Linked DNA regions of Alligator mississippiensis. The protein of the gene in region 3 interacts with the protein of the main gene of each other region in a pairwise test. Links are inferred from orthologs where the notes say so. Each region holds a gene or a part of one and is shown on either strand. Other genes may lie near its edges.

The links.
Region 1: the proteins of RFX6 (region 3) and FRS3 interact in binary tests that used the Homo sapiens proteins (3 or more experiments, as listed by UniProt). The two-hybrid records come from large-scale screens. The link is inferred for Alligator mississippiensis from reciprocal best matches to the Homo sapiens genes RFX6 and FRS3.
Region 2: the proteins of RFX6 (region 3) and NEDD9 interact in binary tests that used the Homo sapiens proteins (3 or more experiments, as listed by UniProt). The two-hybrid records come from large-scale screens. The link is inferred for Alligator mississippiensis from reciprocal best matches to the Homo sapiens genes RFX6 and NEDD9.

What each region holds. Positions count from the first base shown.
Region 1 is NC_081837.1:38,889,298-38,896,795, forward strand, and holds the start of FRS3 (fibroblast growth factor receptor substrate 3), read right to left. Parts: upstream 3,085-7,498; 5' UTR 3,043-3,084; intron 2,694-3,042; exon of another isoform or gene 2,584-2,693; intron 2,509-2,583; exon of another isoform or gene 18-2,508; intron 1-17. UniProt on the Homo sapiens protein: Adapter protein that links FGF and NGF receptors to downstream signaling pathways. Involved in the activation of MAP kinases. Down-regulates ERK2 signaling by interfering with the phosphorylation and nuclear translocation of ERK2.
Region 2 is NC_081826.1:132,751,076-132,758,376, reverse strand, and holds the start of NEDD9 (enhancer of filamentation 1), read right to left. Parts: upstream 3,098-7,301; 5' UTR 2,910-3,097; coding exon 2,898-2,909; intron 1-2,897. UniProt on the Homo sapiens protein: Scaffolding protein which plays a central coordinating role for tyrosine-kinase-based signaling related to cell adhesion. As a focal adhesion protein, plays a role in embryonic fibroblast migration.
Region 3 is NC_081824.1:101,816,068-101,823,681, forward strand, and holds the start of RFX6 (DNA-binding protein RFX6), read left to right. Parts: upstream 1-4,530; 5' UTR 4,531-4,616; coding exon 4,617-4,728; intron 4,729-5,808; coding exon 5,809-5,965; intron 5,966-7,614. UniProt on the Homo sapiens protein: Transcription factor required to direct islet cell differentiation during endocrine pancreas development. Specifically required for the differentiation of 4 of the 5 islet cell types and for the production of insulin.

The DNA.
Region 1 (7,498 bases), on a different chromosome or scaffold from region 3:
GAGCTGCACCCGCTTACCCGTGAACGAGCTAGACCCAAAGGCAATATATAGTTGACTGTTAAGGAATTAGCTCCACATTGCTCATAAAGAAAGCGAGGCTGGGAACACAGATGGAGAAATGAATCGGCACACAGAAACACAAGCACGTTCTGCCTCATTGGGTAACTGCAGACAACTAGAGTCCTCAGCCAAGTCGGAGCGTTGCAAAGCCTTGCCGGCAGCTTCACGTTGTCCCAACTCCTGCAACTCCAGCAAGAGCAAAAGGCTGTAGCCCACTCTCCTATGGGGTCTGGGAAGCGCAATCACATTCCTCTCCCCACCACCCACCCCCAAATGTCAAGAATTACACAGGTTCCCTGCTCACTTCAGGAGCCTTTCAACCCCAACTTGTTTGTTAAGCCCTCTCCATAGCCCTGTTCTAGTTAACTTCACAGACTTTCGCTGCAAACCAAGATCCAGATTCCTCTTCCATCTAATCTGGTCACCGGTGGCACGGCCTTCTCCTTCTGCCATCAGAACCATTTCTATTGCCCCCGGCCTCTCTAGGTCTCCATCGAACTTCCAAGTTTTGTACAAACCATCTATTTTTTCCCACCTTTTCCTTCCTCTCCTACTTTTTTTCTGGATCTTGGCTCAAGCTCTGGGAACTGTTTGCAGTGGGGGGTTATAGTTTCCACTGGAAGACTGCGAGACTCCCTGCCTCGAAGATCCTTGAAGAGCCAAGTCAACCGGTCATTGCAGCCTCACTGCTGAATATTTTGCCAATGTCTATTCCATGTAAATTCCTAGGTTAGAACTTGAGTCTCAGTACACACTTTTTGTGACTCTGTTTCCATGTCCAGATGTGCCAACTACCCAGATCCCTTGGGATGCATACACTACTGAACAAAACCCTGGCATCCTTGCACCACGCAAGTGCCTTTTGCATTTAAACACTGTCCAGACCATTTCTTGCAATTTCCTCATGCTTAATTGTCTCTGCTTTCTACAAAAAACAAACCAGCTGCATTCCTTAGTACTATGAATACCTGAAACTGTTCAGCTCAGCCAAGAAAATAGCATTCCCCTCAGAAGATGCAGGTTCCCATGCACCTGCCTGCCTCTCTTAAGGGCTACAGTGGAATATGCTGACCTCCCACCTTACAGATGGAGTCTGAAGTCACACCTGGCAAGTTTTCCTGTGACATCCATTTTCTACTTATGGGGGTGAACAACAAGTTAAGTCTTGCAAAATAGGAAGTAGGCATCCAACCTGCATTGACAGTCCACAGAAGTTGTGCGCCTAACTTCTGGGAGTGCTTTTCAAAACCTCTTCCAAACATTTTTAAGAAAACAAAAGGAAAAAAATAGCCACATAGAAAATTCCAGCTTTTCCAGTTGCCTACCCAAATCTCACCTGTTTTTATTGGGAGCTTTTATTAGATCCCTTATAGGTGTCTAACTCAACAACTCCTTTGGTCACCAACAAAACCCTGAGAAACGCTCAGCAGAGGCTACCCAATTTACGTGCATGCCGACTAAGCGCATAATTCCCCCGCATAACAAAACCAGTCCTAATACGTGGAAACTGCGTAAGCAGTCAGCAAACACTGGCTAGCCATGTATCGGTTAAGGGCACAAACCTCTTCAGTGCGGAGAAAATTTTAGCTCCACTGAAATTTGCATCTTAATGGCATTCTGGTTAACGGCACTTTGTAGCTACGACTAAGTTTAACCGTGCCAGAAACGGAAAAGAATAAGCAGCCGTCAAAGAGCTCTTGATTGGACACATTTTAGACTCGGGGAGTCGGCCAGTTGTGGGGAAGCCAAAGCACGACAGCGCAACGCTGCCCAGACGACGGGAGCCCCGAAACGAGGCTTCGAATGGCAAGCCTAGCTAAAACTGACTATTAAAAGCCTGGAGTCTCAGGGGAGCTGCCAATACCCAGCACCGACGGAGCTGCCCGTGCGAGCAGCGCCGTTCCTACGAAGTCCTGACGAGCGCTCGCTTCAGCAGCGCTCGTTTTCCAGCCCCGCGGCCGGAAAACACGACTCGCCCTCGTGGCAACAGCTCCACCTCCTCTCGCCTTGCCTCGACCGACCCTCCTTTCCCGCACACCCCTTTCCCCCCTGCACCGATCTCCACCCGATCAAACACGTTTCCACGGCGGGAACGCAAGCGGAGCAGACTCCCTTTCGCGCCTCTCGAGGTGGCGAAGGCGGCCGCCGGATTCGCCGAGCGAGACGCTTTAGACTCCCCGTAAAAAGCAACCGAGAGCCGAGTAACGCTGGCGTTTTCCTAGCGTTTGTTCCTCCTGGAGGGGCAACCGGCCGACTTGCCGGGCGACAAACCTATCTTCAAATACAAAACAGGTGCCGAACTGTCCGGCCCGCGTCCCCCGTGCGCACCAGGGGGCCCGGCTGGGCGGCAAGGCCACGGCAGCTGGTCCCGACCCCCGGGTGCTGCTTGGGGCAGGGCGTCGGGACCAAGCGCACGTGGCTCCCTCCCGCCCGCCGGGCCGGGGTGTACGCCGCGGCCCGAGGAAACCCCGCACACGCGGCGCTCGCGGGCCGGGGGGAGCCGGCCTCGAGGGAGGGCGGTACCTGCGACGCTGCCCGGCCTCCGTCGCCGCCGGGACCCGCGGGGCCGGGCCCAGGGCCGCCGCCGCCCCGCTCGGGCTCCGGGCCCCGCCAGCGCCGCTCCCCCCGCGCGGGCCGGGGTCAGGGGCCGCCAGGAGCAGCGAGTGCGGCGCCGCCGCCTAGAGCGTCCCCGGCTGGAGGACCCGGCGGCGCGCGGCGGGGCCGCCAGGGGGCGCGGGGAGGGGCGGGGCCTGGCGGGGAGCGGGACGGTGACGTCTGTGTGACGTCACGCGGAGCCCGCCGTTGCCGGGCGCGCCAGGCCCCGCCCCGCCCCCGCGCTCCCGCTCGACAACTGCCCCGAGCCGGCGTGTGGGCGGCGCAGCGGGGCCGGCGCTCGGGACCCCCCCCGCCAACCTCACCTGCCCCAAATGCCGTACTTCTCGTCTCAGACCCCTCATTTCCTGTGCCAAACACTTCACTTACCTAGACCCCTCACTTTCTGTCCCAAATACCTCACTTCCTGTTCCAGAACCCTCACTTCCTGTCCCAGACCCCTCACTTCCTGTCCCAGCTGGACCCAGCCATTGGAGCAGCTGTCAGCCTGTCCTGCCCGGTGGGCCGGCTCTCGCCCTGTTGTCTTTGTCCCAGGGGTCAGCTCTGTCCCCCGCGGCCTCCTCGAGGGAGGGTTGCCGTAGGCCAGGCCAGGCCCCCCAGGCCGTAACAAACAGGCCCGCGTTAAAAGGCGGCAGACAGTGGGTGCTGAAGCCTGGGCCATTGCGAGGCGGAGGCTCCGTAGCGACCCCTTTCCCGCTACAACGTGGCTGCATTTAGCTGCCACCACCGCTGGCCACGAGTTGCGCCCGTCACCGACGCGCCATGTACAAAAGACTGCCTCCTCGTCTCGTTTCGTGGCAGAAGCGGGGGCCGTGTGGCAGCAGAAGCGTTCACGTCGTGACCCCTGATGCCACCGGCTAATGCCCCAAACCATGATTCTGGGCCTACAAGCTGACCAACTATAAGCAATCATAACGCCTTGGGAGACACGGGAAGAGTTTGGTTTTTTGTAGCAAGGGAACGTCCATAAATCCCTGTTGACTTTCTCTTGCCATTTACCATTTTGCAAGCCCTTCTCGTGTGCCCCCTTGAGCGTCTCTTTTCTAAGCTGACCAGTCTGTCCTCGTACGGCTCTTCTCTGGACCTCGGGAAGGTGCTGTTTTTCCTGCCGTCAAGAAGCGAAAGAGCTGACGTAGTTTCTGAGGGCAGCCATGAGTCTAACGAGCGGGTTCTTGAGCCTAAAAAGGTTGAGAACCGCTGCTGTAGAAACATGCGGGGCGATTATCCGCCGAGTGTTGGTTCTCTGCCTCGCTGCAAAGTGCCGGCAGCTGCTCTGCGTCCAAAGGGAAATTTCCACCAAACCCCTGAGAGCCTCCGAGGTGTTTCAGTATTCAAATATAGGTGGGGAAAGGGGGAAGGAAGGCACACAGTACCCCCAGGGATTGCTGCCCTCTCCCAAGCCAGCCACCTCCTGTGTAGGGTTCATCCAGTGGTTCAACAACAGCAGCAATGTGAGCACGCACTTGTTGACTTTCCCCCCCACGCCCCGGACAAGCTGTTTGTTCCTGTACCTTCTTAGCAGGGGTTCACCATTGCTCTTAATGTGACTGCCCGGAGTCCTGATTCGTGACTAGGGCTCCTGGAGTCGACGGTAATACAAACAATAATTATACTCCCTACATGCATGTTTAAACATGTGCTAACCAGGGCTTCCCTGACCATTATGAACAGCGAGGGCTGAAGCAGACAGGGTAGAGTTGCACTTATAAACTGAGCGAATCAGAGATGTGTAAGCAACAGCTCGCTTCGTCCGATGCCAACACCAAGTGTTAGTGTATCGTGAATTAGGATATTTTATGACCGTGCTAGCCAAGCTGCAGGGTTAAATTCTCTCCTGAAGTCACCAGAGTAGCAGAGGAGAGTTTTAAGGCTAACTCCTGACATCAGGTGGATGCATGTTTTAAACAGGCTTTGAACAGGGCTTTTGGGTAAAATACATTGGTTCCTTCCAGTGGGGAACCAGTGCAAGACTGCTACGTGCCACAAGGATGGCAATTGCTTGTGTGTAGAAAGGAATTGATTCGCCAGGGAAATGCACCCTGTAGGAAGGGCTAACACCAGGACAACCTGGATCCCTAACAGGACGTAATGCATCCTCAGTGCAGCTGGGACAGTTCAGAGTCAACTTCAGGAATAGTTGGGCACAGTCTTTTGACAAGGACATTAGTTCTGTACAGCTGACACATTCTTTCCTTGCTTATCCCTATTGTTTTGTCTTGTCTACAACACTGGCTTTTTTGTGTGCGCGCAGCATCTAGCACAATGGGGGCCCAATCCTAGTCGGGGCCTCCTGTCACGATTGAAATGCAAACAACAACAATCTGTTGGATTAAAGATTAGGTTGCAATTTAGGTCCCCTTTGCGCTAGGACTGCAACGACTCACGGGCCCTCCTCATATGTTTTCACCGTTCTAGCATGGCTTCTGTAACGGGCTTAGACAACAGATTGGGTCTGTCTGGTTAGGTGTTGCGACTGAGCCCTCCAGCCCAGATGGCCTTGCTCAAAGGATGTTTCCCTCTCCGGTGTGAATAGACATAAATGAGGAGAGAGAGTGAATGGCTCAGGAGGTGACAAAGGAAGCAGCAATACTACAGCTTGTGTTGCAAATTCACAGAGGAGGTAAAGAGAGGACAGGGGCCCCATGGTACAAAGTCCATAACAAGGAGCAGGCAAGATAACACTGCTGTGACTAACTTCACACCAAACCCAAACAGAGCAGATTAACTGTCACTGAGCCAAAGTTGAGAGAGTTCCCAAGAAACAATAGTTCCCTCTGGAACGGCCTCCTCGCTGAATTACTTCTGCCTTTGGGGCTCCTTTTGCTGCTTTGGGTGGGTTTGCAGGGGCCCTTTTCTGTGCCCTGCACCTAGACACTTTCATACATCCCCTCCTAAGTTCATTTGGGACTCAGGGCATGGGCAGATGAAATATCAACACTGCTGTAGTTTGCATTGCATCAGCTTAAAAAAAGGAGCGGAGGAAAAATACCAACTCCAAACTGGCGTCATGTCACCCAAGCCAGTGGAGAAGTATCCCTGAAAGAAGCACTATCCCTCAACTATAGTGTAAGTTGTACCAGGGAGGTATAACTGTCAGTGTTCATCTGAGGTAGCTGTTTGCCAAAGGCAAACAGGCTATTGCTTATTCCCACTGCTTATTGGTGAGGCATAGCAATAAACACTTACTATTTGACCTGTCCCAGTGTAGCAATACATCTGTCCGTCCCTGATCCCAGTATAATTTACTTAGATATACAAAATACCTCAAGACAGGTGTAGGTCTGTCCATGCCCGGGTGGATGCAAGGATACAAATGCTATGGAACATAAATCGGTATGGCTATGAGAAAGAGGTTGTGCTAGGTTTTCTTCTAAGCTTAGCCACAAACTTTCTATATGAATTTGGTCAAGTCACTTAACTGACATCATTGTGTCACCTACCCATATTGCAGTAGAAGCCCTAGCTTTGCCGTCAGGTATTGTACAAACGTGTACCTTGACAACAGCTCGTGCCCCATAGAGCTGAGTAGGCAGATGTAAGACAAGAGGCAGATATAATAAGCAGATGGAGAGGAGCAGAAGGCATCTGAGAAATTATTATGAACAGCTTGATCACTAGCAGTGACACAGCCCATCTGCCCAACCGTTGTTGCGGTTTCTGCAGGCATCACGGCAAAAGTGAGTTTTAAGGACGGTGCCCCTTCTCTGTGCCTCAGTGTCCCCATCTCTAAAATGGCCTATAATCATCCTTGCCAAGACATCTCAGAACTGCGTACAATCTACACGCAAGAACAACAGTCACAGCTAAGAGAATTAAGAGAACAGAGGGAATGAAGCAACATATGGAGGGGGAGACACGGATGATAGTAGAATGGGAGGTGGTAAGAAAAAACAGATATAGTGTACAGTTCTTTCCCTTGCAGGGTTAACATATCCCTTGAGCTCCATTGCTCATTTCCCTCCCTGCCTGCTGCTCTGATTCCCTGCCATTGGCTGGCTCTGTAGGTTTAAGCTAAAAAGCTCCGTAATTAGAAGCTCGGCTGACACAGATCCAGTTTCCTGGGCAGGCAGATTAAAAAAAAAAATCATCTCCCTAACTCAGATGTTTTCCTTTCGCTTTGCAGCACAAAATTTCCAGCATTCGGCTGTGATTCTTCTTCCTGTGACCAGTCGCTGGAAGCAGGTGGAGAGGGGTGGAGAAGCTGCTGGCTGGCTGGGAGCTGGGACAAGACAGGGACGGGAAGTGGCAGCCGGGTCTCGTAAATTCAAGCAAATCTGTGCTCTCCGGGGATCTCACCCATAGCTGCGCCCCTGGCACGGTGGGCAGCGGCAGGTAGGTGACTTGGAGCGGTGATTTGTAGGGGCCTGTTCCTTCAGGGGTGGCAGACTCAGGGCTGTGAAAGCGAAGAGAGCAGTGGCAGTCTGGCATCAAATAAAATGCCGGGGCCAAAAAAAAAAAAAAATACGGGAGTGGAAGAGAAATGGGCACTCCCTGCTTGGGAAGGCACTGAACATATGGGGGCAGGGGAGGGGAAGCCTGGGGAGGGGCCTCTCTTTGCTTGCTTTCTCCCTTTAACAATGAAATTGTGTGGGGGGAGGAATATATGCCCCCACCCTCGTCTTCAGAAAGGCCCCTTCGGAGCGTGAGACTGCGTCTGCTCTATCACTGCCAGATCTCTGCTGTTCTTGGTTACAAAACCATTCGTGGGAGCTGGAGAGCAGACAGGTGGATGGACTTTTCAGGCTGCGTTCAGGAGAAGCTCTTTGAAAAAAAAATCTCCATTACGGGAACTCGTCTGCAGAGGGGTTCACACAGTAGAGCGTCA
Region 2 (7,301 bases), on a different chromosome or scaffold from region 3:
TCATCTAGAATTACGTAATCACCTTCTAAGCCAAAGCCCTAATGAATCGGAGAGGAGAAACCTTACAGAGCAGGGTAGAGCTCTGCTGGTAAAGAGGCTTATCATTTCATACTCTCACAGCAGGCTGAGACTACGTGTGAAATATGATCTCCTCACTACTGCAGAGTTGTTTCTAGCCAGGGAAGGAGATGAGGAATTTTAGGGACTGTATAATTGTGCAGGCTTGTCATTTAGCAGTCAGCACACAGCATTCCTCATTCATGACCAGTGAGAATGTATTTAATGCTAAAACAAACAATAATTTCCACCAAGTGAAATGGCCATTCTCATGGTTCCTGTACACTCCTGTATTAGTTCTTATACTTTCCTATATTAGTAAGTACATAATATTCTTTGTGTGCAAGTCAAACTGTCTTCAGACTTGTATCGAATACAAATAGGCTAGAACAGGAAAATGGAAAGGGGGGTGGGAGGGGGTGGGGCTTAGATCACTGGCCTTTACTTAGCCCAGTTATAAGTACTGAGTTATCCAGATCAGAGCTTCCCAAGTTATTTTGTATTGGGCTATTTTGGCCTTGTATGACCCACATCATTGGCACCTGTTTGCCTGCAACAGACTCTGGGGTACAGCTCATTAGGGAAACAGGAAGCAGCTATAAGGGTGGGACCCCAACTTTCCTAAAATTAGGGTAGGTGGGGTTGGACTGGACTCCTCTGTATTGCCCCAACAGAATGGGTGGGTGCATTTGTGTCATTAATATTGTATAGATTTATATTCTGATAGCAACAAGAGTTTCTGTTCTGTGCAGGTTCATGCAGCACATTTATCATTGAAGGAGCAGGGCTCCATTATATTGGACCATGCACAAATAGAATAAAAAGATGGTCCCTGCTTGGAACAGCTTAAATCTAAGGAAGTGTGTGTAATGCATGTGATATTTCTAAATCACCTTTTTATTGAGTTTGAAGGGGCTTTTTTGGCAGGAAAACTAAAATGTTCCTTCCCTCCCTCCTTTTTTTCCAATCACACAAGATTACCATATGTCTGAGCAGTAATTTAATGCTTCAGTACCCTGTCCAGGTATTTAAAAGTCAGCATAATACTATTATTGACACATCAGCTTTTCATGTGCACATCTCTTAGCAGAACCTTATTTTAAAAATGATTAAAAAAAGCTTTTTTTTAAAATAGTAAAATATGGTTCTAATGGCCAAAAATACAGTTGATTTCTTGCTCATAACCAGTTAAAGGAAACCTGCTGTAAAGTTGCGTATTGCTCACAAAAAACATATGTTCGTGAAGTTTAAGAAACAGGCTGATCTTTTTTTTTTTTTTTTAAGGAAAAAGATAAAAGTTTATATGCCAAAAAAATGCTAAACATCACAAAATGTGTATTTACGTAGACATATCCACTGGTATTAATTTCCTTTTTGATAGCAACAGTGTTATGCAGGAGTTCCTGGAACTAACTGCTGTAAATAGGAGGAGAATTTATCCCATTATCCAGGTATGTACAGTGATATAGCAGCATCAGAAAATTACAGAAAAGCATGTTCTCTTTTAAATTCACACAACATTAAAAATTACAGAATCCTTTTCCACACCATCCTATTACAATTCTTTAGTATTTAAGGGTTCTTATTTTGCAATCCTAAATCTGGAGCAATTCCTTTTGACTTCAGGGCAATTATTCAAGATCTTTCTCCTGGATATGCAAAAGCAGTAGTGAAATTCCTGAAGAACCCACCCACGCCTCAGTCAGGCTATTTTTTTTCCTGATGAGGTCCCAGTCTGGGTTACACATCAATACGATATGTATCTGCTAAAGATGAATCAAGTTCTCTTTCTCATAAAGTTCTTGTTTCCGTGGCTGAAAACAGAAAGGATTTTTACAAGTGTCCAGACGACTTGAAATACAGCACATGCACTATTCTGCCCGTGTGTTCCAGGCTTGCAGCTAAGAAAATGCCTTATGCTTTCAGACAAGAGCATTACATTCACAATATCAACCTCCCATGAGGACTTTAAGAATTCTAAAAGATGATGGTTACAACTTGTATCCCTAAAAGATGATAGGTACATTTTTACAGTTCCCTTGAAAAACATATGGCACAATCAGTCAGAAAGAAGATTCATAGATTCATAGATTCATAGATGTTAGGGTCGGAAGGGACCTCAATAGATCATCAAGTCCGACCCCCTGCATAAGCAGGAAAGAGTGTTGGGTCTAAATGACCCCAGCTAGATACTCGTCTAACCTCCTCTTGAAGACCCCCAGGGTAGGGGAGAGCACCACCTCCCTTGGGAGCCCGTTCCAGACCTTGGCCACTCGAACTGTGAAGAAGTTCTTCCTAATGTCCAGTCTAAATCTGCTCTCTGCTAGCTTGTGGCCATTGTTTCTTGTAACCCCCGGGGGCGCCTTGGTGAATAAATCCTCACCAATTCCCTTCTGTGCCCCCGTGATGAATTTATAGGCAGCCACTAGGTCGCCTCTCAACCTTCTCTTGCGGAGGCTGAAAAGGTCCAGTTTCACTAGTCTCTCCTCGAAAGATACTTTTAAAAACTATTTTAGAACAAATGAGTCTGAAACTTGACATTCCTATCTACTCGGAGCCAGCACAGTATCTGTGGCAACTGAAAGAAATCAGATAGAGTTTTCTTTGAAACTCTGACAGCCTTAAAAAAAAACAGAACTCAGTGTAATTCAAGAAAAAAAGTTCTTTATATCCTTTGATTCTAGGTATGGAAAAAACTGGCATATCCAGTTCTCTTTTGTCTTGTACTGGTATGGAAATGTCACTCAGAGTCCATATGAAACTAAAAATGTAAACGTTCCCCTTGCACACACACACACTGAATAAGAACAAAATCTTTTTAAAAAAGCCATTTGCCTCACCTTATACTTCATAATTGCAGATGTATCTGGAGTAGTTCTGTGAAACTAGACAGAATACTCTACAATCTCACACATCTTCCTTTCCTATGTAATGTCTTCAGAAGTGAAAATGAAAATATCCCCAGAATTGAAGGCGGTTTTCCAGTCTGAGTCTGTGAACTCTTAGAGCCGCTAAGTTTCCAGTGCATCTGAGCTCATTGTTGTGATTTGCTGCAACTGGGCTGCGCTGCTGATTTGCATAGCTTTCCACTATTGGCTAGAAAAGGAGATGGGCTGGGACAAGATGACAGTGACCCCTCCTCTTTTCCCAACTCCAGAAACACTACCCTTCTCCTCACCCCGCCAAGCCCAAATCACTAAACTAGACATGATTTTCCACCTCCACAGAGTGTGTGGGGGAGTGGAGAGAGAGAAGAGAAAAGAGGAAATCTTTTAAGATTAATTCCATTTTTAAAAAAAAAAAACCAGTCCACAAAGTGAGGTCAGGCAGTCCTGCTTCCTGTGACCTAGCAACTCCTTCATAACCCAGTTTCATTTCAAAGCCATTCACCTCACAATCTCCACATGAAATGAATGCGGGGACAAAAGGTTTTCTGTCTCCAGTCCGCTTTTTACTCCTCACCCCTGCTGATATCTCTTTTGGTTGCTGTTGTCTTTTTGTTCCTCTCAAGGTTCACAGTGCTCTGACTGTCCGTTTGAAACCAGCTGGGCAAATACTTGCTCTGACAGTGACCAGGCATTACAGTGCTCTAAGTATGTGCTCTGGACCAGCCCAAGATTATGGTGGTGATAATTGCTGTAATAGTCAAATATGCAAAGCACTTTACCAACAACAGTAAGTGCCCTATGATATCCAGATATGAAACAGCATGAGGAATATTCAGATATGATATGAGGAAGAATGTTAAATTAGAAATCTTGTCCAACTTTATCCTAACCACATAGTTGGTTCAATAAAAGATATTGCCTTAAGAAATCCCTGCCTCTTGCATAATTTCTGATATTTAGGCATTATACCAGATACATACTAGAAGTGGTATAAATTAGTTTTTCATGTTAAATTTGTACCACGTATTTTTGCCTGTTTGCATCCTCTGTAATCCTTTTGCCGTACTAATTCATTTGAGGAGGGCTTCTTTTATTAAACACCATTTTTTTCACTCCTGCCTTTCTACTTAGTGAAATGGTCTGTTAATGTTCCCATTGTTATCTCTTGAATCAAAATGCTAAATATTCACTTCGCATGGGAAAGGCATGTTGATTCCATACTGATTAGACACCAGGGCACAAGTAGGCTTTAATGATCTACATACCCAGTTTAACCTGGGATAGTAGTATGATTAGTATGATTTAAAAAATGCAGTATTTACCTGTGATTAACCTACTGATAGGAAAGAGAAAGGAAAGCAAATGTGTAGTAATTTAGTATTCATTGGGTGTGTCTACACATGAATTTACGTGGGCTTAAATTTAATGCGCTTTATCCTAAGGCAATTTAGGCACATGTTTACACGTGGAGGCCTTAAGGCACCTTAATGTGGCTCGCTGGGCAACCTGCCCTGGTCAGCACTCTGGACAGCCCCCGGAAGCCCGTGGCAGTGTAGCTGGGTGGTGTAGCCCAGCACTTGCCAAGTGGGAGCCTCCAGTCCCCCCGGAAGTGGTTGGTCCACGCCTAGCCCCAGCCGTGGCTCCAACCCCCTCCCCATGTTCCTGCCTCCCCAGGATCGGAGGGCAGCAGGCCAAAGCTGAGCCCATGGGCCCCACGCTGCCACCAGGCACCACCAAGAAAACACGGTGGGTGCTGTTCTGCAAGGCACAGACACTGGAACTGGAGCAGTGCTTCTGGTAGCAGCAGTCTCTGTTGGTGTGCGGTAAGTCAGCAGAGGGCCTAGGAGGCATGAGGGCTTCTGGCAAAGCACAAGGGACAGGCCACACTATGACTCCCTGCAGGGGAAGTGGGCAGAGCCTTTGCTAGTTCCTCTCCCTCAAGGCAGGTTTGCTGGCCGGGCAATGCAGCCCTGCAGGGGCAGGACTCCTCACTCCCTGCCCGGGATTCAGGTACCCTTAGAAGCCTGTGCTGGGGCTCCTGCCCAGGACAGCAGATGGGCTGGGACTGCATCTGCCCCCCAGTACCTGGTACAGCTTTTGCTGCTTCACCCACCTCCATCTCAGGCAAATGCCTAACCTCCATGCTGGACACTGGGTGGAAAAGGCAGTGTCAGTCCCTGGGGGCTCTGCACAGCTCAGCCTGTGTAGGCTGGGTGCAATGTGGGTAGAGGCTCAGCTCTCTCCTTGGCCTGCCTTATCCAAGGCTGAGCCTCTGCCCATGTTGCACTCAAGCTGTGCCACGCAGAGCCCCCGCAAGTTGACACCACCTCTCCCACCCACAGTGTCCGCACAGAGGCCAGGTGCTTGCCCAGGATAGAGGTGGGTGGAGCAGGGAAAGCCATGCCAGGTGCTGGGGGCAGACACAGTCCCAACCCACCTGCTATTCTGGGTGGGAGCCCAGTGGAGGCTTCTAAGGGTGCCTGAATCCTGGGTGGGCAGTGAAGCATCCTGTCCCTGCAGGGCTGCATGGCCTGGCCAGCAAACCTGCCTGGAAGGAAAGGTATGGGAGAGCTGCTAGCAAAGGCCCTGCCTATGCTGCACTGCTCCCTTCCCTTGCAGGGAGTCACAGGGTGCCTGTTTCTTGGGCTTTGACTAAAACCCTAAGTAATCACACCTACATTTGGTAATTGCTTTATGCAGGTATTAAATTTAGACATGATTAGCCTAAAATTATCGTTACGGTGCATTAAGGATGCACACATGTAGACCCCATGCCCTTAATGTGCCTTAAAAATGGCTAATGTGCCTTAAATCACCACGTGTAGATGTGCCCGTTGTAACTGAACCTTCTAATTCTGCTTTGATGAATGCAGTCCAAGCACTATCAAGCTTTGAGTGGAACAGACTCCAGAAAATTAGATCATCTGCTTATTTTTTGGCCAACTTGAACCTTGGCCAGAATTTCTAGGTCACAGATGGATTTAAACTCAGATTGCTTCTAGAGATCTAAGGAAAAAAAAAAAAGAACTAGAGTCTATCATCAAATATTAAAGACAACTGTTTCACAGTGCACTAGAACTGTACTAATTCTCATGTGATTAGTCCACTAGAGAGCCCTCATATTACTCAGACTTCATGACTTATATGAAGTATAACAGTGGTGTTCAAGCTGTCTTCCATGGAGCCTATTGTTCCACTATAGGTCATAGAATCATAGTCATAGAAAATTAGTGTTGGAAGGGACCTCAGGGGTCATCTAGTCCATGGAGACTGGCCCCAGCAGTGGTAGCGGGGGCATGAAGCAGGGCAGGGAGCTGCTCTGGGGCCAGGCTGGGATCTTGCAGTGGTGACAGTGTGGTCCAAAGCCAGGGCAGAGCCGTGATCCGCAGCCTGCATGCTCTCGGCAGGGGCGTGCGGGCAACGGATCTCTGGCCCGGCTCCTTGCAGCAATGACAGCATGGTCTGGAGCTGGGGAAGAACTGCAATCTGCTGCCTGCATGCCCCTGCCCAGAGTATGCAGGTTGTAGATCATGACTCTGCCCTGGCTGTGGACCATGCTGTCACAGCTGCAAGATCCCAGACTGCCCTAGGAGCAGCTCCCCGCCCTGCCGCGTGCCCTGCCCGCTGCTGCTGGGGCCAATCGCCACAGAAACCCTGGCTCCATGCTATCACAGAATGGCTGCTGCTGGGGTCTCCATGGAAACTGGCCCCAGTCCTGTGGGCAGGGACATCTGGGAAATAGAGTCCAGCAGCAGGCCAGATCCGCCACTTTGTCTAGGTTCATCGTCTTTGGAACCACCCTGCAGGTAGTTAAAGGCTGCTATCAAATCCCACTCTATCTTCTCTTCTGCAGACTAAATAAGTCCAGTCCCCTCAGCCTCTCCTCAGAAGTCACGAGCCTCAGCCCCCTGACCATTTTTACTGCCCTCCACTGGACTGTCTCCAACTTGTCCACATACTTTCTATAGTAGGGGACCCAAAACTGGACACTACTCCAGATGTGGCCTCACCAGTGCCAAATAGAGGGGAATAATTACTTCCTTTGAGCTGCTGCAACAATCCTACTAATGTAGCACAGTATGCTGTTAGCCTTCTTGACAACCCAAGAACACACTGTTGACTCATATCCAGCTTACTGTCCACTATAACCCCTAGGTCCTTTTCTGCAGAGCTGCTACTTAGCCAGTTGGTCCCAAGCCAGTAGAGGTACATGGGAATCTTCTGTCCTAAGTGCGAGACTTTGTACTTGTCCTCGTTGAACCTCATGAGATTTCTTTTGGTCCAGTCCTCCAATTTGCTTAGGTCACTCTGAATCTTAGCTCTAACCTCCAGCATATCTACTACTCCCCCCAGCTT
Region 3 (7,614 bases):
GTAGTCTCTGGACCCTGGCTATAGACAGTTCCACTATGGGTCCAGGGGCCATGGTGAATGCCAGAGGATCCTGTGAGTGAGAAGTGGTGGAGGCCCTCCTCCAAGGGCCAGGTGAGGGCCTGCTGTGGGCCAGCAGGAGGGACCCAGGGACCCTGCAGGGCCGGGGCCAGGGGCCAGGAGTGGGAAGGCATGGACATGGTCTCCACTGGGTGGCCCTGGCTGACCAGTTGCTGCTGAAGCAGCTCAATGCAGCACTGCTTCAGGGCTTCCAGCTGGGCCCAGTGCTCCTGATGCATCTGGCCCTGTGCCTCCTCCTGGGTGGTCTTGCAGGTGATAGCTTTCTGCTGCCAGGCCAGCTCCCATGCCTCTCATGCCTGCTTCTATGCTGCCCAGTTCTCCATCACCACCACCAGCCACTGGAGCAGGGAAGTCCAGTCCCTTGTGCACTGCTGACAGTCAGCATGTCTAAGCGGCTCCAGCAGTGGGTGGCAGCAACCCTGAGGCAGCATTCCCACAGGGCCTTGTGGCCTCTCCCCCATGTCCAGATGTTGGTCCTGCAGAGGCAAGAGACAGAAGCCTTTTATGTGAGTTTGCAACATTTCAGAGATAAGATGCTCTGCACCAGAGTCTGTGTGCTGCCTGGCCTCAGATCAGGGGTCGGCCATGCGTGGGTTCCCAGGGACCATGGAAAGCTGTCCAGGCAGAGCTGTGCTCAGGTGGCTGCCAGCCAAGCCTCCCAGCCTTGCTTGCTCCCCTGGGGCTGGCGGGCCTCTGGGTGCTGGCTGCAGGCATCTGCCTCCTCTGCCCCCTTCCCAGGGTGGGTCAGGCCAGGCTTCTCACAGCACCTGCTGCCACAGCTCTAGGCCCCACTCCCCCCCTCTCCCTACAAGCCAGCTGCTCTGCTGTACTGCTGCCTAGTCCATGGCACCCAGGCTTGGGGCACACAGGACTCCTGGACAACTAGGGTGAGGGGCTGGCTGTACCCCTGCCTTCTCCACAGGAGGCCTCTCCAGGGTGGTGCCATGAGGCTGCCACCCCCCATGCCACTGCTGTTCCCTGAGTATGCCCTTGCTGCATGTACCTCAGGTGGTGTGCAGTGAGCTATTTGTGCAGGTGGGGGGTAGCCAAGTCACTATGCCCTGCTGTTGCTGATCCTCCTGGTACCCCAGGCACACCTGCCCTCCTGGTTTGGGACCCTGAGGTATGACATTGTGGGTGGCAAACCTGGGCTGCCCACAACCTCCACGGCCACCTGTTGCAGTGCTACACAACCTTGCTGCCAAGGAAGACATTGCCTCTGGGATTGATGCCTTCCTCGGTGTGTGAGAGGCCTGTGCCCACCCAGCTGTGGGGACACAGGTTGCTCAATAAAGTTTTGAACTGTGTCCCACCTCTCTGCATGGTATGGGGGGGACTCTGGGGCCAAGGGGAGTATGGGCAGGGGCCAGGGGCAGGGGTAGGGGCAGTGACTGGGATGGCCCTCTCCAGTGGCACGATTTACCATGTGTCCAGGGATAGCTCAGCATAGGGCTCCCTGTCAGTGATGGTGTCTGGCTACACCCAGTATCCATGGCCTGTATTGTGCAGCAGGCAGAGCCTGGCCAGGTGCCCCTTCCCCCTCCCCCCCCCAGGGAAAAGTTGGCAGCTGGCAGTGACAGGCTGGCTGTTCTTCATGGCAGGGTGTGGGGCTGGGCAGAGGGTGAAGCAGCTGCTGGGCAGGGCTCTCCAATGCCAGTGGATGCAGCAGGCAGGAAGGTGGGTGGGGCAGGGCACTGAAGGGCTGAGGTCCCCTCCTCGGGGACATATGACAGAAGGTGTCAGGGTGGGGAGCAGGCAAGATTAGGCCACCCTTGCTGGTGGCACTCTCAGGGGTACAGTCTGTCTCCCAGGGAGCCAAAATGCAAGTTACCTCCCGCATGAAGGGCATGGTCTTCTGGGCATGACCAGACTGACAAATAAATGTGGTCACAGCCACCCACTGTGCTTTCAAGACCTTGACTTTCATGCGACACTGCTAAGATGACTGAAAGTGGCCTCACACATGCATCCCACCTGGTTTGGTCTTATAAATGTGGGTGTCCAAGCTCCCACCTCGTGTGAACCATCTCTGGACATCAGTCCTGCCTCAGAGTGCTATGAGGTTACCAGCTCTCTGGGCCCCCTGTGGCTGTCCCTGCAATGCTGTCCCTGGATGGCTGCCAGCAGCACCCTGGACAGGGGCACAGCCAAAGACTGTGAGCCATGCAGCAGAGGAGCTTCATTACACTTCCTGCAAAGAAATAGAGCTGGGGGTGAGGAGCAGCAGGGGCAAGTGCTGGCCACCCTGCTGCCATAGATATCAGAGCCAGCAGCCCTGGGGGGAATCTCAGGGCTGGGCAATGAATGTAGCAGGCTGCAGTCCTTTTCATTACTCACCTGTGGCCAAGGAGCAGCTCAAGCTAGGACAGGCAGAGATTGCCTGGGTTGCTTTTATAGCTGGCAGCTAGGGGCTGCCAGAGAGCAGCCCAGCCCTGGGGCAGGAGAGGCAGCCTACCAGGAGCCATGGGGCTGGGCTCTGGCTGACGCCCTAGTGGCTGGGCAGACCCAGGACTAAAGTCACCCTAATAATGCACTTCAACGCGTCTACACATGCATTAGTGCACTTTAATTAATCACACCTAAATTTGATACCTGCTTTTGCAGGTATCAAATTTAGGCATGATTAGCCTAAATTTGACATTTTTAAGGTGCATTAAAGGTGCTCACATGTAGATGTGAGCCCATGATGTACCTTAAATCAGTCTAATGTGCCTTAACTGCACATATATAGATGTGCCCATAGAGTACTCCTCCTCTTCTGCCACAGCTGCTCAGCCCCTGGAGAAGAGGAGTTTTCCTCACCCCAAGGATGGCACCAGCAGTTACAGGGGAGTGGGGAGCAGGGAGCCAGAGAAGAGTCCTGTGGGGTATGTGGGCAGAGCTGCATGGGGGGGTGGGAAGGGCAATTTGAGCAGTGCAGGACAGCAGGAGGACAGTGGGGGCAGTGGGGGGCAACTGAGTGGGATGGCATAGGCCAATCTGGGCAGTGGGAGAGTGACCTGAGTGGTGTGGGGAAGCAGTGGGGGACCCCTGATACCCTCCATCCTTCATCCTTCCCCTACCTCTCCCCTGGCCTATACTGCTGCTGGAGAGTCAGCAAGTAGAGCAGGCACAGAGTAGACTAGCAGCTCCTAAACAAGCCCCTGCTTGCCAGGCCTCTAGTGGCAGGTCAGAGTGGTGGATGTTAGAGGGGGTATTAACCCTTAACATATGACTTCTATGATGACTGTCAGCAGAGAAGACCAGGGTGCAGGGTCGAGGCAAATCAGCCTGTGTGGGGCCCAGATTTGGCGGCAGCGGAGGGTGGGAGTGGGAGGGTGGTGAGCGGCTGGATGCGAAGCTGGCCTGGCTCTGTGAGGTTTCCCAAAGTGTGGGGCCTGGGGCAGTTGCCTCGATTCACCCCCCGCCCCCCCAGGGATGGCCCTGACTGTCAGTGCTAGAGTACGCTGGCCGTGCCACAGTAGAAGCAAAATGACCAAGATTGTTGCCTTGGGCAGGTACAAGATGCAAATCAGCACAAGACAGAATCTCATGTTTTTATCAGGTTGAATTTCCAACCTGGTAAGAGACCTGCTCTGTAGAGCTTGGCAGGAACTAGGTTTTCCATTTCCTTCTTTCCTTCCTTGGCTTTTCCACATTTTCCTTCCTTCTTTCCTAACATTCTACAATGAAATAAAAACAGAATCTAAACTGTAACAGCATTCTCCATAATGTTCGTTCTGATCAGATGAAAGCATTTTATTAGAATAAGATCAACACATCTTGTTCCCATGTTGACATTTTACTTTGACACCACAGCCTTCTCTTCATGAAAATGCATCCCTACAAACGAACAGCTAAAGTTAGTCCCAAATCAACACACACACACACACACACACACACACACACTAACCCTAGGCAAAGTTAACACCCGCACCACACAGGTATCGAATTCGGCATAAGGCGCCACATTTACTGCGCAGCACGAGCATGCCCATGTAGACGCAGCATGTGTAGCCGTACCCAGGATGTCCCAAAGGGGAAGAGGCTCCTCCTGCCCAACTCGCAGCCAACTGGAGCGGGTTGAAGAAGCGCCGCCACGCCGAGCAGGGGCTGCCCGCGGCCAGGCTGAGCCCCGGCCATGCCTCAGCCCGGGGCGCGGCTCTGTGCTCGGGCAGGGGCAGGAGCCGCGCCGAGGCCGCCCCTTGCCCGCGCTGTGAGGGGGGAGCGGTGCCCGGGGGCAGCCCCGCCACACAGCCCAGCTCCAGGGGTTACTCATTAACGCGGCTGCAGGGCTGGCCCCGCGCCGGGCCGGGCTGAGTCGAGCCATGGGCGCGGCGGGGGCTCCCCCGCCTGTGGGGGGCGGGCTGGGGCAGGGCGCGGGGCGCGGAGCGCGGGCCGGAGCCGCGCCGGGGCTGGCATAAAGGCAGGCGGGGGGCGGCGGGGAGGAGCCCGCAGCCGGCCGGGCAGCCTGGCGGCCGGGAGCGATGCAGCCGCCCGGGCGCTGGCCTTAGCCCCGCGGCAGCCGTCGGGGAGCCTCGGACAGCCGCTGCCCAGCGATGCCGCTCAAGGCAGCGCCGAGCCGGGCCGCGCCGCCCCCGCAGGACCTGCTGGCGCTGCCCGCGGACGGGCTCTGCCCCGAGCCCCGCCTGGCCCCGGGCGTCAAGGCAGGTGAGAGCGCGGCGGGGGCCGCCCTGCGGGGCCGGGGCTGGAGGCTCGGGGACCAGAGGAGACGGGGACGGGGTGGGACAGCGGCATTGCCCCCGGCCACCGAGACATGGGGGTGGATGTGGCCCCAGCACTGCTGTGTCTCCCGATCTACTTACCCATCTGTCTATGTATCTGTCTCTCTTCCTGTCCACTGCTGCATCTATCGATATACTTATCCTTCTATGTATGTATGTATGTATCTATCTAGCCCTAGCACTCCTATGTCTACCAATATACTTATCCATCTATGTATGTATGTATGCATGTATCTATTCCTAGCACTGCTGTATCTACGATATATCTATCTATCTATCTATCTACATATATAACACACATACATAGAAAGAGAGAGTCCTCGGTCTGAGATCATCTAGCCACAAATCTGGACTGTAGCGATACAGGATGCAGAGAGGGAGGGAGAGAGAGCAAGCCAGGACTGCTACATCAATATAGTTTGTATTTTGTCATGCTGCAAGTTTTTACTTTGTTTCATACAGCTACATTAGCTGACCTAGATAGGTAGAGCTATTTACTTCAGCCAGAGGCAGCAATTCTCAACCAGGGCACCTCAACAGCTTTTCAAAGGTGCCGTGGGATGCCACACAGTGTTAAGCGCATGAACATGATTTGCAAGATAAACCCAGAGATTTCATATAGGAACCCATAGTGTTAAAAAAACATTCTGACTTATTGTGGTCTTTCTGAGGTCTTTGCAATGGAAGAATTGCTCTATTATTTTTCTGTAGTCAAAAATGAGTGAAAAGCAAGAGCTAGCATTTTCCATAGTGTGCCTTGAGCTGAAAGAGGGGTGCCTTCTGCCAAAAAGGTTGAGAACCACTGAACCAAGGCACCTCACTGTCCATAGTTATACACACCATATTACCAGCTGCAAACACAAATACTGTAGGTAAAATCACAGGAAATGAACACAAGAATAAATCAGCGCTGTGGCAAATATATCAGGACAAGAAACTGTGATAAACAAATACAGTGAGACACTTGGATTTATGTTCTTTTCTCCCCCTCCCCCTTTCCTGCTAGAAATACATTTTAACAGTGAAACCCTTTCCTCAGAAGAGGAGGATGCAGATATTCATGGCAATAAAATAAAATCCCTGGACAAACCCATGTCTCCAAAGAAAACAATCACACAGATCATGAAGGATAAAAAGAAACAGACCCAACTCACACTACAGTGGTAAGGCTTTTATTCATCTATAGATATATTCACACATATATATATATATAAGTAGATACATATATCTACTTTGGTTCATGTATAAGATACAAATCTACCCTGCCTTCCTCTAGTTCAGATACAGAGCATACCTGTTTTACTTCACAGTTTTTTTGCTAATTTTTTTTTTTTTTTTGAGGAGAGAAAGATGCTCATTATTTACAGAGTCTGAGTATATTTGGGTTGGAAAATCTCAAAATGAAAGCTTTCCCAAAGAAAATTACTCTACTATTTGAAGAAAATATTGATACTTGCCTTTTAGTGTCACATAAGTAAAACTAGATAACACAGGATTTTGTGTCAAAGTGAATGTGCATATTGGTTGATGCAGTAAGTCATGTTACATTACATAACCACTTTTTCAGTTTTGTTATTTGATTCAGATGTATTCTGGTATTATTTTGAAAATCGTTATTTCAAAATGTAGCGCACAAATTTTTTGTCGTAAAATTCTTAAAGATTATATTGCTGAACTTTATCTGTTTTTAATATATCCACTAGAATAATTTCATGAGATTCACTACATGTGCTCTCTATGAAACGGCAAACTTATTGAAGAATAAAGTCACTGTGTACGGATTTATCAGAGCTGAATGTAAATTCAGGCATCTGAAATGGAAATCAAGTAAAAGGATAGATTGTAATTGAAATATTCCTTTCTGTTTACCAAATCATAAAATACTAATCAGTATATGATGCATATTGTCAGAGTATCAATTTATTTCCATGAAGCATGATTTGTCTCTCTCTCTTAAAAACAAGTAAGTGACAATATTGGAAAGAAAACCTTGCTTTTTGCATTTTTTCTGAATGATCACACCTACAATAACACCTAAGCCCATTAACAGTGTTAGAAAGAAATGGAGAGGTGAATGATTAAGGCATAAACTTGTGAAAGGATGTGCTTAGTTACCCACTAATGCTATGTCTATGATAGTTTCACTGAACTGTCATACATTTGGTCAGTGTATCCCACTGTTAATGAGAAAGCTAATTTTACTGCATTTTATTTTGGCATGATTTTTCCAAATAGTTCTCTAACTCTGCCTTTCTTGCTCAGTAAAGAGTGCCCTTGGACTATTGGGAACTGTATTATACACTACAGAGGTAGACCTAGATTATCCCCCTTAACTGTGAAAATCATAAGAGCAAATGCAGGGTTGTATTTGTTAGTGCTGAGATTTTTATTTATTTTACCCTAAAAAGTGGGATATGATCCCATGCCATATCCTGTGTCTTCTACAGCATTTCCTTTCACGTGTTTATGCCATTTGAAAGAATGAGGGGTTTTATTTTTTGTTGTGTTTGTAATGTACAAGCCTTACTGATGACCATGAAGAATATAATGCTGAAGAATAGAAATGAGCTAGGGCTGAAATACCCTACTGGACCAGGTGCTTAGCGGTACACAGCTACAATGTGAAAAGATCTAGGAATAGCCACCAGGTGTGGTTTCAGTCTATGGAATTCTCTTTGATATCCATCAATAGACAATCCGAATTAGCACTGGTTAGCAATTTTTCACCAAAATGTTTTCTTCTTGGAACATGCCAAATCATCGGTTTTCAAGTGTCTGTCATAAAGATTTCTTGGGTCTGGAATTGAATTTC